3 linked regions of the Callithrix jacchus genome follow. The protein of the gene in region 1 interacts with the protein of each later gene in a pairwise test. Links are inferred from orthologs where the notes say so. Each region holds a gene or a part of one and is shown on either strand. Other genes may lie near its edges.

Region 1 (3,653 bases):
GACAGTCGCAGAGCAAGTTAGTGTCTTGATACTAGAACCCAGGTCTGCTGACTTCAAATCCCTTTCCTCAGCCTCCTTTCTTCAAGCCAATCTCAACACCTTCGGTGCCCTTTCCCCCTTCTTTCCTTTGAGCACATATCCCATGTGGCCAGCTCTTGAGATAGCTGTGGGGAAGACAGAGAAAGGAAGAATACTTAACAAAACCCTCAGCTTCCTTCTCAAAATGACCCATCCAGTTCCAAATGACCCAGCCGCAGAGCCCTCAAGGGTCGGCTGCTGTCCCTGGTGCTGAAATCTCTTGTCTCAAGAGAAGCAGAGGGCAAGGGGCTCCTTCTCCCTCAGGCACACCTCTCTGCCCCATCCTCCATTTCCTATTCTTCTCTGTTTTGTATCATTTCTTACCCCATCTTTCTCATTTGTTCTCCATTCCTCCTCTATCCTTCTCCTTCTTTTCTCCCCATCTCTTCTTCCTCCTCAAATCATAGGTTTCTAGAATAGACAGATGCCTTGAGTGTCACCAAATGTAACCCTTCCCATCATCTGCTTTCCAGATGTGTGATGGTGATCAAGTTATATAACCCTCTGAGCCCCACTGCTCATATTTTAAGAAGAGAGATGATAATACCCACCTGAGGGGTTGTGGTGAGAATTCATTAGAATCATGGCTGAGAAATGCCCATCCCCATGCCTGGCACATAGTAGATGCTCACTAAATAATCATGGCAGTCCTGCCCACTAAACAGCACTGGCATGATTATTTATAGATTGGTGTTCTCCTTAAAGCTTATACTGGCCAGGCACAATGGCTCATGCCTGTAATCCCAGCACTTTGGGAGGCCGAGGTGGATGGATCAGCTGAAGTCAGGAGTTCGAGACCAGCCTGGCCAACATGGCAAAACGTTGTCTCTACTGAAAATACAAAAATTAGCTAAGCATGGTGGCGAGTGCCTGTAATCCCAGCTACTTGGGAGGCTGAGGCAGAAGAATCACTTGACCCAAGGAGGCGGAGGTGGCAGTGAGCCAAGATCGTGCCACCGCACTCCAGCCTGGGTGACAAAGTGAGACTCTGTCTCAAAAAAAAAAGTTTATACCAACGTTCATGCCGTTTCATGAGATAATATAGTCTCTTTGGAGGGTGTTTACCAAGTGGTCCATTGTTCTTAGTATTTAGACCAGTTTTCTCTGACTCGCAGTAGACTTTTATTGATAGCTGTATTAAAGGATTTATTGAGCAAATCACTTTTTCCAACTGAAATTCAGTTTCTCCACCTGCAACATGTGTGAGATAGTCTCTCCCCATCCTTGTGCCATCAAGAGCTGGCATAAGTGTTTGTGACCAAGGAAAGGAGTCTTATTCCTGGAAAGAAGTGCTATGCCTGTTTGCCTGTGTACTCAATGTGTGCACATGTGTGTCTGTTGTCACAGGGGACTGGACTCAGTTCTGTGTGTGTCTGTCTCTGGGCTGGGATTCTCTAGGCCACAGGAGAAAATGGCATGTTGGGGTCCTAACAGCAGCTGGCATGGAGCCTCACCCTGTGCAGGGGCTCAGACTGTGCTTGTGGGTTTGTATGCACAGGGGTGATCCACATGCGTGCATGCATGTTGATTTACCCGTGTGGCCCCTGCTCTCTACTCTTGGTGATGTCTCTCACCTCTCACTGTCTCTCCTTACTGGGAGGGAAAGGGGTCCATTTAAAACTGAATCTGTGCTCATTTCTTCTTTTTCCAGATGTGATCCTCAAGGTGGTAGACAACAAACAGAAAGAGGAGTTGTTGTCCTACAAAATACCCATCAAGAACCTGCGTGTCTTCCACCCCTACCACTTTGAGCTGGTGAAGGTGAGTCAGAGGCTTGAGGAAGTACAGGGAGAGCAGGTGAGAACCACCTTGATGCCCCCAGCTTTTGCCTCAGAGCAGCCCTGGGCATCACACCCACCCACAGCATGACAAGTCTAGGACCAGGTGGGGCTCAAGAAACACAGCTCCTGGAGAACGATCCAAGATGGCTGATCGCTAACATCTCGGGATTGCAGCTCCCAGTAAAAGTGCAGAGAACGAGAGGATGCCACACTTTCAGACAAAATTTTGTCACTCACAGACCAGAAGATTCCCAGTGGAGGAGCCCCACGGGTCGCCAGCACAACTCTTGTAGCCAGCCCAGCAGTTTTGCTGGTACCTCGGCATGGCAGCTCTTGGTGCAGAGTAAATGGGACTGGTTCCCCTTCTGACCAATGTTTGGAGCTCTGGGAAGGCAGAGTCACCCATTACAGACTTAAGAAGGAAGCCAGACTGGAGATTCCCAGGCAGAAGAGCACCATCAGTCTTATCGCTGCTGTTTTGTCCGGCGCAGTGGGTTGCTCAGATTTCAGCCCTGGGAATTAACAACTTGGATGTCCACTCAGAGACCTAATTTGAAAGTTGATAATTACAAAGACAACAGGTGGATAAATTTACAATGATGGGAAGAAACCAGCATAAAAAGGCTGAGAATACTCAAAATCAGAACACCTCTCCCTCTAAAGAGGATCACAGTTCCTCATCAACAAGGGAACAAGGCTTGATGGAGAACGAGTGCATCCCATTAACAGAATCAGGCTTCAGAAGGTGGATAATAAGAAACTTCTGTGAGTTAAAAGAACATGTTGTAGCCCAATGTAAGGAAACTAAGAACTTTGAAAAAAGGTTTGACGAAATCCTAATGAGAATAGACAACTTAGAGAGGAATATAAGTGAATTAATGGAACTGAAGAATACAATGCAGGAACTCCAAGAAGTATGCACAGGTTTAAACACTCAAATTGATCAAGCAGAAGAAAGGATATCAGAGGTTGAAGACCAACTTAATGAAATAAAATGAGAAGACAAGAAGAGAGAAAAAAGGATAAAAAGGAATGAGCAAAGTCTCCAAGAAATATGGGACTATGTGAAAAGACCTAATTTATGTTTGATAGGTGTACCTGAATATGACGGAGAGAATGAGTCCAACCTGGAAAATACTCTTCAGGATATTATTCAGGAAAACTTTCCAAACTTAGCAAAGCAAGACAATATTCAACCCCAGGTAATACAGAGAACACCACAAAGATATTCCTCAAGAAGAGCAACCCCAAGGCACATAATCGTTAGATTCACCAGGGTTGAAACAAAGGAGAAAATACTAAGGGCAGCCAGAGAGAAAGGTCAGGTTACCCACAAAGGGAAGCCTATCAGACTTACAACAGATCTCTCAGCAGAAACCCTACAAGCCAGAAGAGAGTGGGGGCCAATATTCAACATCCTTAAAGAACAGAACTTTCAGTCCAGAATTTCATATCCAGCCAAACTAAGCTTCACAACTGAAGGAAAAATAAAATCTTTTATGAACAAGCAAGTACTCAGAGATTTTATTACCACCAGGCCTGCTTTACAAGAGCTTCTGAAAGAAGCATTACACATAGAAAGAAACAACCAGTATTAGCCTTTCTAAAAATATACCAAAAAGTAAAGAGCATCAACATAAAGAAGAATTTACATCAACGAATGGATAAAACAGCCAGTTAACATCAAATGGCAGTAATCCTAAATTTAAATCAACTAAATCCCCCAATCAAAAGACACAGCCAGAACCCAACGGCATGCTACATCCAGACCTGTTTCACATGCAAGGATACACA
Region 2 (3,653 bases), about 48 Mb from region 1:
TAATCCCAGCTACTCAGGAGGTTGAGGCAAGAGAATTGCCTGAATCCAGGAGGCAGAGGTTGCGGTGAGCCGAGATCGCGCATTGCACTGCAGCCTAGGTAACAAGAGCGAAACTCCGTCTCAAAAAGTAATAATAATAATTATTATTATTATAATAAATAAAATACATAAAAAATAAGAACAAGGTAGAGTTGGTTAGATCAGGTCTCTTTCACTGTCTTCATTTTCTATTATAATTTTTGCAAAGGTAGTTTTAAAACTGTCAGTCTTCAGTTAATCCTCATTTAATTCTATATCATTCTAAGGTGACAATAGAAATACAGTGCTTTAAGAAAATAAAATGAAACTTGGACTAGACTAACATTTAAAATAGTTTTTTTCAGGGCAGAGATCCAGCCTTGCTGATCACTGATTCTCTGTGGATCACTTTTTGTTAAACAAATGTTAAGCACAATTAAGGTGAAATACAAAAAATAATTTGAGGCAGTGGCAGACAGTTATTTTATTAGCCACATACACTTTACAGGATCCAGTAGTCTAAAATTCACATGTAGAAATTTACGTTGTATTTTTAGCTGCCTGCTGAAGATGAAGTCTTACTGCAGAAATTAAGAGAGGAATCAAGAGCTGTCTTTCTACAAAGAAAAAGCAGAGAACTGTTAGATAATGAAGAATTGCAGGTAAGAACAGAGCAAAACGTTGCTTTAGATGTTAACCATTTCTTATTTGTACTGCTTAAATCATGTAGGATTTCTTGGTGCCTAATGGAGTCAGTACTGCAGAGTGGTACTGCATAGGCTCTGAAGCAGCAGTTCCCACCAGAAGCAGCTGCTGAGTTTGCATAGGTCATGTCTCCCAAACACAGTGTTTGTTGTTTTTGTTAAAGGCCCTAGGTGATTCTAATATACAGCCAAGGTTGAAAACCACTGCTGTAGGGTCAGACTACAGAGGTTCAAATCCCAGTCCTGTTATGTGACTTTAGGCAATGGACTTAACATCTGTGGGCTTCAATTATAATCTGTAAAGTAGGGATAGTTAACCATATTATAGAGTTAAGTGGTTTAAAGAGGCAGTGTATATCAGAAGCTTGGTAGGCACTCAATAAATGTGATTTTTATTAGTAATGAAAAGGATAATAGGGCATGATTCATTTTAATATTGACTTTGCTAACTATCATTTTAGTGGAAAGCATGCATTTAACTACATTTTAAAATCTTGTTAACTTATAACGTCTTCATTCCCACAATTCTCTTAAGAACTTGTGGTTTTTGCTGGACAAACACCAGACACCACCTATGATTGGAGAGGAAGCGATGATCAATTATGAAAATTTTTTGAAGGTTGGTGAAAAGTCTGGAGCAAAGTGCAAGTAAGAATAATATAATTTACAAAGAAGTGTGTTATGTTAAGCATTTTAAATGCCTCAAATATTGGCCAGGCACTGTGGCTCATACCTATAATCCCAACACTGTCAGAGGCTGAAGTGGGAGGATCGCTTGAGCTTGAGTGTTTGAGACCAGCCTGGGCAACTTAGGGAGATCTTGTCTCTACTAAAAATCAAAAAATTATCAGTGTGGGAACATCTGCCTGTAACTGCTTGGGAGGCTGAGGTGGGAGAATTGCTTGAGCCCAGGAGGATGAGCTGTGTGATTCAGCCACTGCACTCTATCCTGGGTGACAGAGCAAGACCCCATCTTTAAAAAAAATAAATAAAGCCTCAAATATTTGAAGTCAGTGGTATGACATTTCAGTCAATTTAAGTGATTAATGAAATTTACAGTGAAAAAAATCACATTGGTATGAAGTTATTAAAAGAAATAATGTAGTTTATGACACTTTCAGCCTTCATTCTTAAGACAGAAGAAACCAAACATAAAAGAATGCAAGGCCACGCACTGTGGCTCACATGCCCATCTCTGCAAAATATAAACAAAAAAGACCGGGCACAGTGGCTCACGCTTATAATCCCAGCACTTTGGGAGACTGAGGTGGGTGGATCATGAGGTCAGGAGTTCAAGACCAGCCTGGCCAAGATGGTGAAACCTCATTTCTACTAAAAATACAAAAATTAGCCGGACATAGTGCTGGGTGCTTGTAATCCCAGCTACTCGGGAGGCTGAGGCAGAGAATTGCTTGAACCTGGGAGGCAGAGAATTGCTTGAACTTAGGAGGCAGAAGTTTCAGTAAGCCAAGATCGCTCCACTGCACTCCAGCCTAGGTGACACAGGGAGACTCCATCTCAAAAAAAAAAAAAAAAAAAAGAATGCAAAGATTTATGACTTAGGCTGGGCATGGTGCCTCACATTTGTAACTCCAGTGCTTTGGGAGGCCAAGGCAGGTGGATCACTTGAGGCTGGGCATTCAAGATCAGTCTGGGCAACAGAGAATATCCTCATTTCTTTTTTCTAAAGAAAGTATGACTTAATACTTTAAGTTTTTTTTTTTTGTTTGTTTTTTTAATTTTGTTTTGTTGAGACAGTCTCGCTCTGTTGCCCAGGCAGGAGTGCAGTGGCACAATCTCGGCTCACTGCAACCTCTGCCTCCTGGGTTCAAGCAATTCTCTTGCCTCAGCCTCCTGAGTAGCTGGGACTGCAGGCAGATGCCGCCATCTGGTTAATTATTTTTTTGTAATTTTTTAGTAGAGACAGGGTTTCACCATGTTGCCTAGGCTGTTGGTGAACTCCTGAGCTCAGGCAGTTCACCTGCCTCAGCTTCCCAATATGCCAGGATTACAGGCGTGAGCCACCACACCTGGCCAATATTAAGTTTTTGAATTATAAGCAGTCTCTGTTGTTCTTACTTTCATCTTTAATTATATGAATTTATGTCATTGTTTGCTAATTTATGTAGAAGTCATTTTTCTGTTATGTTGGCAGATCATTTAAATCTTTATTTTCTTTTCTTAGGCAATTTTTCACAGCAAAAGTCTTCGCTAAACTCCTTCATACAGATTCATATGGAAGAATTTCCATCATGCAGTTCTTTAATTATGTCATGAGGAAAGGTGATTCATTTTTATTGTCATCAGGGAATCAAGTAGGTTTTTGGTCTGTGCCTTTGTAAGTACTTCTTCCATGTGAAATCACTGTAAGTTTGCATAGTAGAATTTCTTATCTTTCTTTGAGATATTTCACTCTGTCACCCAGGCTGGAGTGCAACTCGATCTCTGCTCACTGCAACCCACGCCTCCTGGGTTCAAGCTATTTTCCTGCCTCAGCCCCCCAAGTAGCTGGGACTACAGGTGCATACCACCATGCCTCACTAATTTTTTGTACTTTTAGTAGAGGTGGGGTTTTAGAGTGTTAGCCAGGATGGTCTCAATCTCCTGACCTTGTGATCCACTCGTCTCGGACTCCCAAAGTGCTGGAATTACAGGTGTGAGCCACCACACCTGGCTGAATTTCTTGTCTTTTCACCAAGATATATTACATTGTTGTTGAGTCTCTTGTGGAGCTTACTAGAAGCTGTGATTTTTTTTTTTTTAACTATAAACTTGGGTTAGTATAAAAAACAAAACTTTTTTAAACCCTCATGTATCTTAAAGATAGTAGTAGACTAGAAATATTAAGAGCTGAGCCAAGAGTTTTGATGTATGGTTATTTGAAATAATTTTAATTTACTGATAATTTTATTTTACCAACATATTACAGGT
Region 3 (3,653 bases), on another chromosome or scaffold:
AGCATTACAGTTCAAAATGGCACTCAGGGAAGACACACTGCTAAAGAGAATGTGGATAAAAAGGTTCACACTCAACTGTTCCTCCCACCAAGACCTAACTACCTTAATTTCACTGAAGACTGAAATACAAATTTTTACTCTGGAAAGTAACTTACAGAGATGGGCAGGTGTGGATCTCATGCTAGGTATCTGCACTGAGGCAGCTGAACAGGAACCTGCTTGAATGGCCATTACCAGGAATCCTGGGAGAGGAGGTCATGCATCCTTTCTGCCCACATTAATTCCTCAATATTACTATTTGAACAAAGGCTGCATTCCTGAGTCCCAAGATACAGATCTTTTTTCTACTCTTTCACACTCTGTTGCTCTAACTTCAAAAGCCTGCACCTGTATAGATTTTATCAATTTAAATGTGTGCATCTTCTTTGAAATATTCTTTCCATGGTTCCTTTGAGCAGAACCCAGGCCAAGTTTTCATACTGCATTTTCTTATTTATCTTATTAGAAGGATCAGGGGAAAAAGTGCTCTAATTACTGCAAAAAGAAAGAAGTCACTTCAGAAACAGTCACATTCTTTTTGGTCTTTTAGTATAAACAATATCCTTTGCATTTCATTAACTTTCATTTGGTGTGACTGTATTATATTTTGCATAAAGATTTGGCATTCTTCAAACACAAGACAATTTTTCTCACATTTCAAAAGGGATTATAGCGTAAACACTAGCATCCAGCTTATTGAATAATAAAAGTTCCTTATCTGCATAGTTCAAATGGAAGTCTGAAAATTATCTAGTTCCTATAAATAAGATCTCAAGGTGACCTTTCTTATGAGAAATGAGGCCTGGCTGTAGTCTGAACCAGTTATCTGACATGTGCCAAATTCTGACTTCATTTCATGATATGTGGATTACAGTTCTGGTGCTTAAAGCCAAAACCAACAAAAATGATGAAACTTTACCTGTGATTCAAGTAACCACAATCTGTGCCTCTTAAGGCAATGTCCCCAGTTCACTATCAACTTTCTCTTTTAGGGTAGCCAAATGTGAAAACTGAGAAATCAGGGGTAGATGCTTTTCAGAAAAATGAAGCCCTGTACTCCTGGAACTGATTTACTTGTTAAATCAAGAAAGATTGGGTCTGGAAAGCATTTATCATGTAGGACCAGATGTCGGATGTTCTGTAATATACATGCTGAATTTTGAATTGAGTATAACTAATTATATCTAATGAGTCTGGGACAGCCACTGAAAGGATGAGAGGAGAAAGGAGGCTGATAATGCAGCTAAAGAGTTCACCGTGGAAGGACTAGGGCGCCTACTGTCCTTAAAATGCATTCACTCACCCCCTCCAAGCTGAGTGAAACCAGAAGCTCCCAAGGCAGTACTTACTCCCAAAAATGTTTAAGAGGGCATAATTTTCCAAGGGATCACAAGATTTCAACAACCTGCTGCCCAGCAGAAGGGTGCAAGAGTAGAAGGAGGGGGAGGCACCCGAAGGAAGAGAACAGCTATCTCCTCTATGAAGATCAATATATATTTTAACATTTCCAGATAGATGGGCTTTCCTGAAGTTCCTTGGTGGGAGGGAAGAATCCAGTGTAAAAACAGTCTAAGTGCATGGGCATATGTTCAGGAATCTTTAATAGCAAATTCCCTCACTTATAAGCTCATTTGAAATCCCCAGGAGCCATGGGTGTTTAGTGGATGCTCAATAGGGAATGATAGAGGGGCACCTGGAAAAATTGGGAGCATGTTTGCTGACAGTGAAATGAAAAGAACCAATGGGGAGAGTCTTTCGTGCCCCCTCTTTTGTTGAGGTCCAGTATGGCCACTTTGACTTGGCCTAGGAGCTGGGCAGAGGGTCACTGATCTCTGTTTCCTTGTTCATTGCTCTGTGACTGGTACTATAGGGTTTGAGGCAGAGCTAACTGACTTGTTTCTCTGGTCCCCTAAACAGACAGACAGGCATCCCCCCAGTACCTGCAGGAGGATCTTGTTCCCATCGTGGTCCTCCGTCTGCCAGCGTCCCTCGCTAATGGGGCTGCAAGGGTTGGGCAGGAGAGGCACGAGCTCACCGATGTCCCTCACTCGGAACTCCAGCACGGACGAGTCGGTGGGCACCGGGCTCTGGTCACAGGGCAGTCTTTTCAGGGAGAACTGGATGTCCACATCCAGATTGGAGAAAATAGGGAAGATGCAGAAGTCCACTTTCTTCTGGCTGGGGCTCCTCCGGAGAATCAGCTCGTAGAACCTGAGGCTGTCGGTGTAGTTGTCGTGGCGACAGTAGACCGTGAAGCGCACGATTTCCTTGCCGTAGTGCACCGGCCGGATGGCCCACAGTGGCGTCCCAGGGGCCAGCGTGAAGAAGTCTTGGCTGCAGGGCAGGTAGGGCAGGAACCGGCCGTGCACGCGCTCCGTGTGGTGGTGGCGCCAGGGCGGCTGCTGCAGCGTCCGGTGTAACTGCAGGATCTGCTCCTCGCCGTACTCCTCCTGCAGGAACAGCACCACGGCCAGCGCTGGCTGTGAGCCCTTGGGGGGCTTTCGCCGCCGCCGGCAGGCCCGCCTCTCGGACACTCGGAACAGCGGGAGGTCCGGGTGGATCCACGCCAAGACCTTGTCGATGGCCTCCTGCAGGGGCTGGGACTCCCCTGGGTCTGCGATTATGTGGATGCTGACCAGGAAAGGGTCCTGCGCCTCTTCCACGGAAAGCTCACCTGGGGGCACACGGAAAATGAATGAATGAATACAATTATGATTATTTCATTAAAGTGTTCAGTGATGACATGTACAGGCTTGACAGAGAAGTCAAATTCAACTGAATTGACTCCAAGACGTGGGATTTTCTGATTCCAAGTTTACCTGTAAAAACTACTATGCCAACACCCTAGCAGCCAAAGAGGAAAGGACTATTGCTACCTGAATAGTCTCCAAGCTGGAGAGGGGAGGAGAACCTTGTTGCTGTATTTCATCAGGTTGAGTGGTATAGGGAACATGTGACTTTATATTTACATATTGGACATATAAAAAGTCAAGTCTAGTGACTTGGACTAGCAGGCCCATTAGAGAAGATGCCATAGCATCTTGTGGACACCATTTAGAATTTCCTGAAATAACTGCAGGGCCTTACCCCATTCATGTTCCCTACACCAACACATTCCTCTGGTTTGCTTATTTCGTTTGTTTATTTTGTTAACACACGCTCATGGGCTCCTTCCTAACTGCCTTACAGGGAGTGAGGCACAAGGTGAATGATGGAGGACAGGAGAGACCTGTGCTTGCCCCCTGGGGCTTACTCTATGGACAGGTGATACTCTGGCTGGTGATGAGTCCTGCCCACAGTGCCCTCTATTGTGGGGGCCTGGCCATGATCATCTTGCTGCTGGAGACACAGGGAAGGATGACCCCTGGAGCCAAGCACAGTGTTCTTGCTGTTGGAGCTTACTGGGGCTGAGGTTAGGGTGGAAGGAAAGCAGGGTGAGACCATGACTGCCCATGAAAGGCTGCCTTTTGTGCCCCTTGCTGGGCCACATCCACCCAGAAGCCCACACATCTTGAATGGGTCGGTTACACCCTCCCTGTGTTCTCTGGCAGAACACCTGAAAGTATTGAATTCCAAACGTGAAGTTGACTGTTTAACTTGGCAACACTTTCTCA

What was found.
Region 2: the proteins of CCDC33 (region 1) and PPP2R3C interact in a two-hybrid assay, tested with the Homo sapiens proteins (2 studies listed by BioGRID and IntAct). The two-hybrid records come from large-scale screens. The link is inferred for Callithrix jacchus from reciprocal best matches to the Homo sapiens genes CCDC33 and PPP2R3C.
Region 3: the proteins of CCDC33 (region 1) and FAM124A interact in a two-hybrid assay, tested with the Homo sapiens proteins (2 studies listed by BioGRID and IntAct). The two-hybrid records come from large-scale screens. The link is inferred for Callithrix jacchus from reciprocal best matches to the Homo sapiens genes CCDC33 and FAM124A.

What each region holds. Positions count from the first base shown.
Region 1 is NC_133509.1:21,106,500-21,110,152, forward strand, and holds part of CCDC33 (coiled-coil domain-containing protein 33), read left to right. Parts: exon of another isoform or gene 1-164; intron 165-402; exon of another isoform or gene 403-1,729; coding exon 1,730-1,839; intron 1,840-3,653.
Region 2 is NC_133509.1:69,573,525-69,577,177, reverse strand, and holds part of PPP2R3C (serine/threonine-protein phosphatase 2A regulatory subunit B'' subunit gamma), read left to right. Parts: intron 1-575; coding exon 576-680; intron 681-1,257; coding exon 1,258-1,370; intron 1,371-2,907; coding exon 2,908-3,005; intron 3,006-3,653. UniProt on the Homo sapiens protein: May regulate MCM3AP phosphorylation through phosphatase recruitment. May act as a negative regulator of ABCB1 expression and function through the dephosphorylation of ABCB1 by TFPI2/PPP2R3C complex.
Region 3 is NC_133502.1:64,698,147-64,701,799, forward strand, and holds part of FAM124A (protein FAM124A), read right to left. Parts: intron 2,714-3,653; coding exon 1,980-2,713; intron 1-1,979.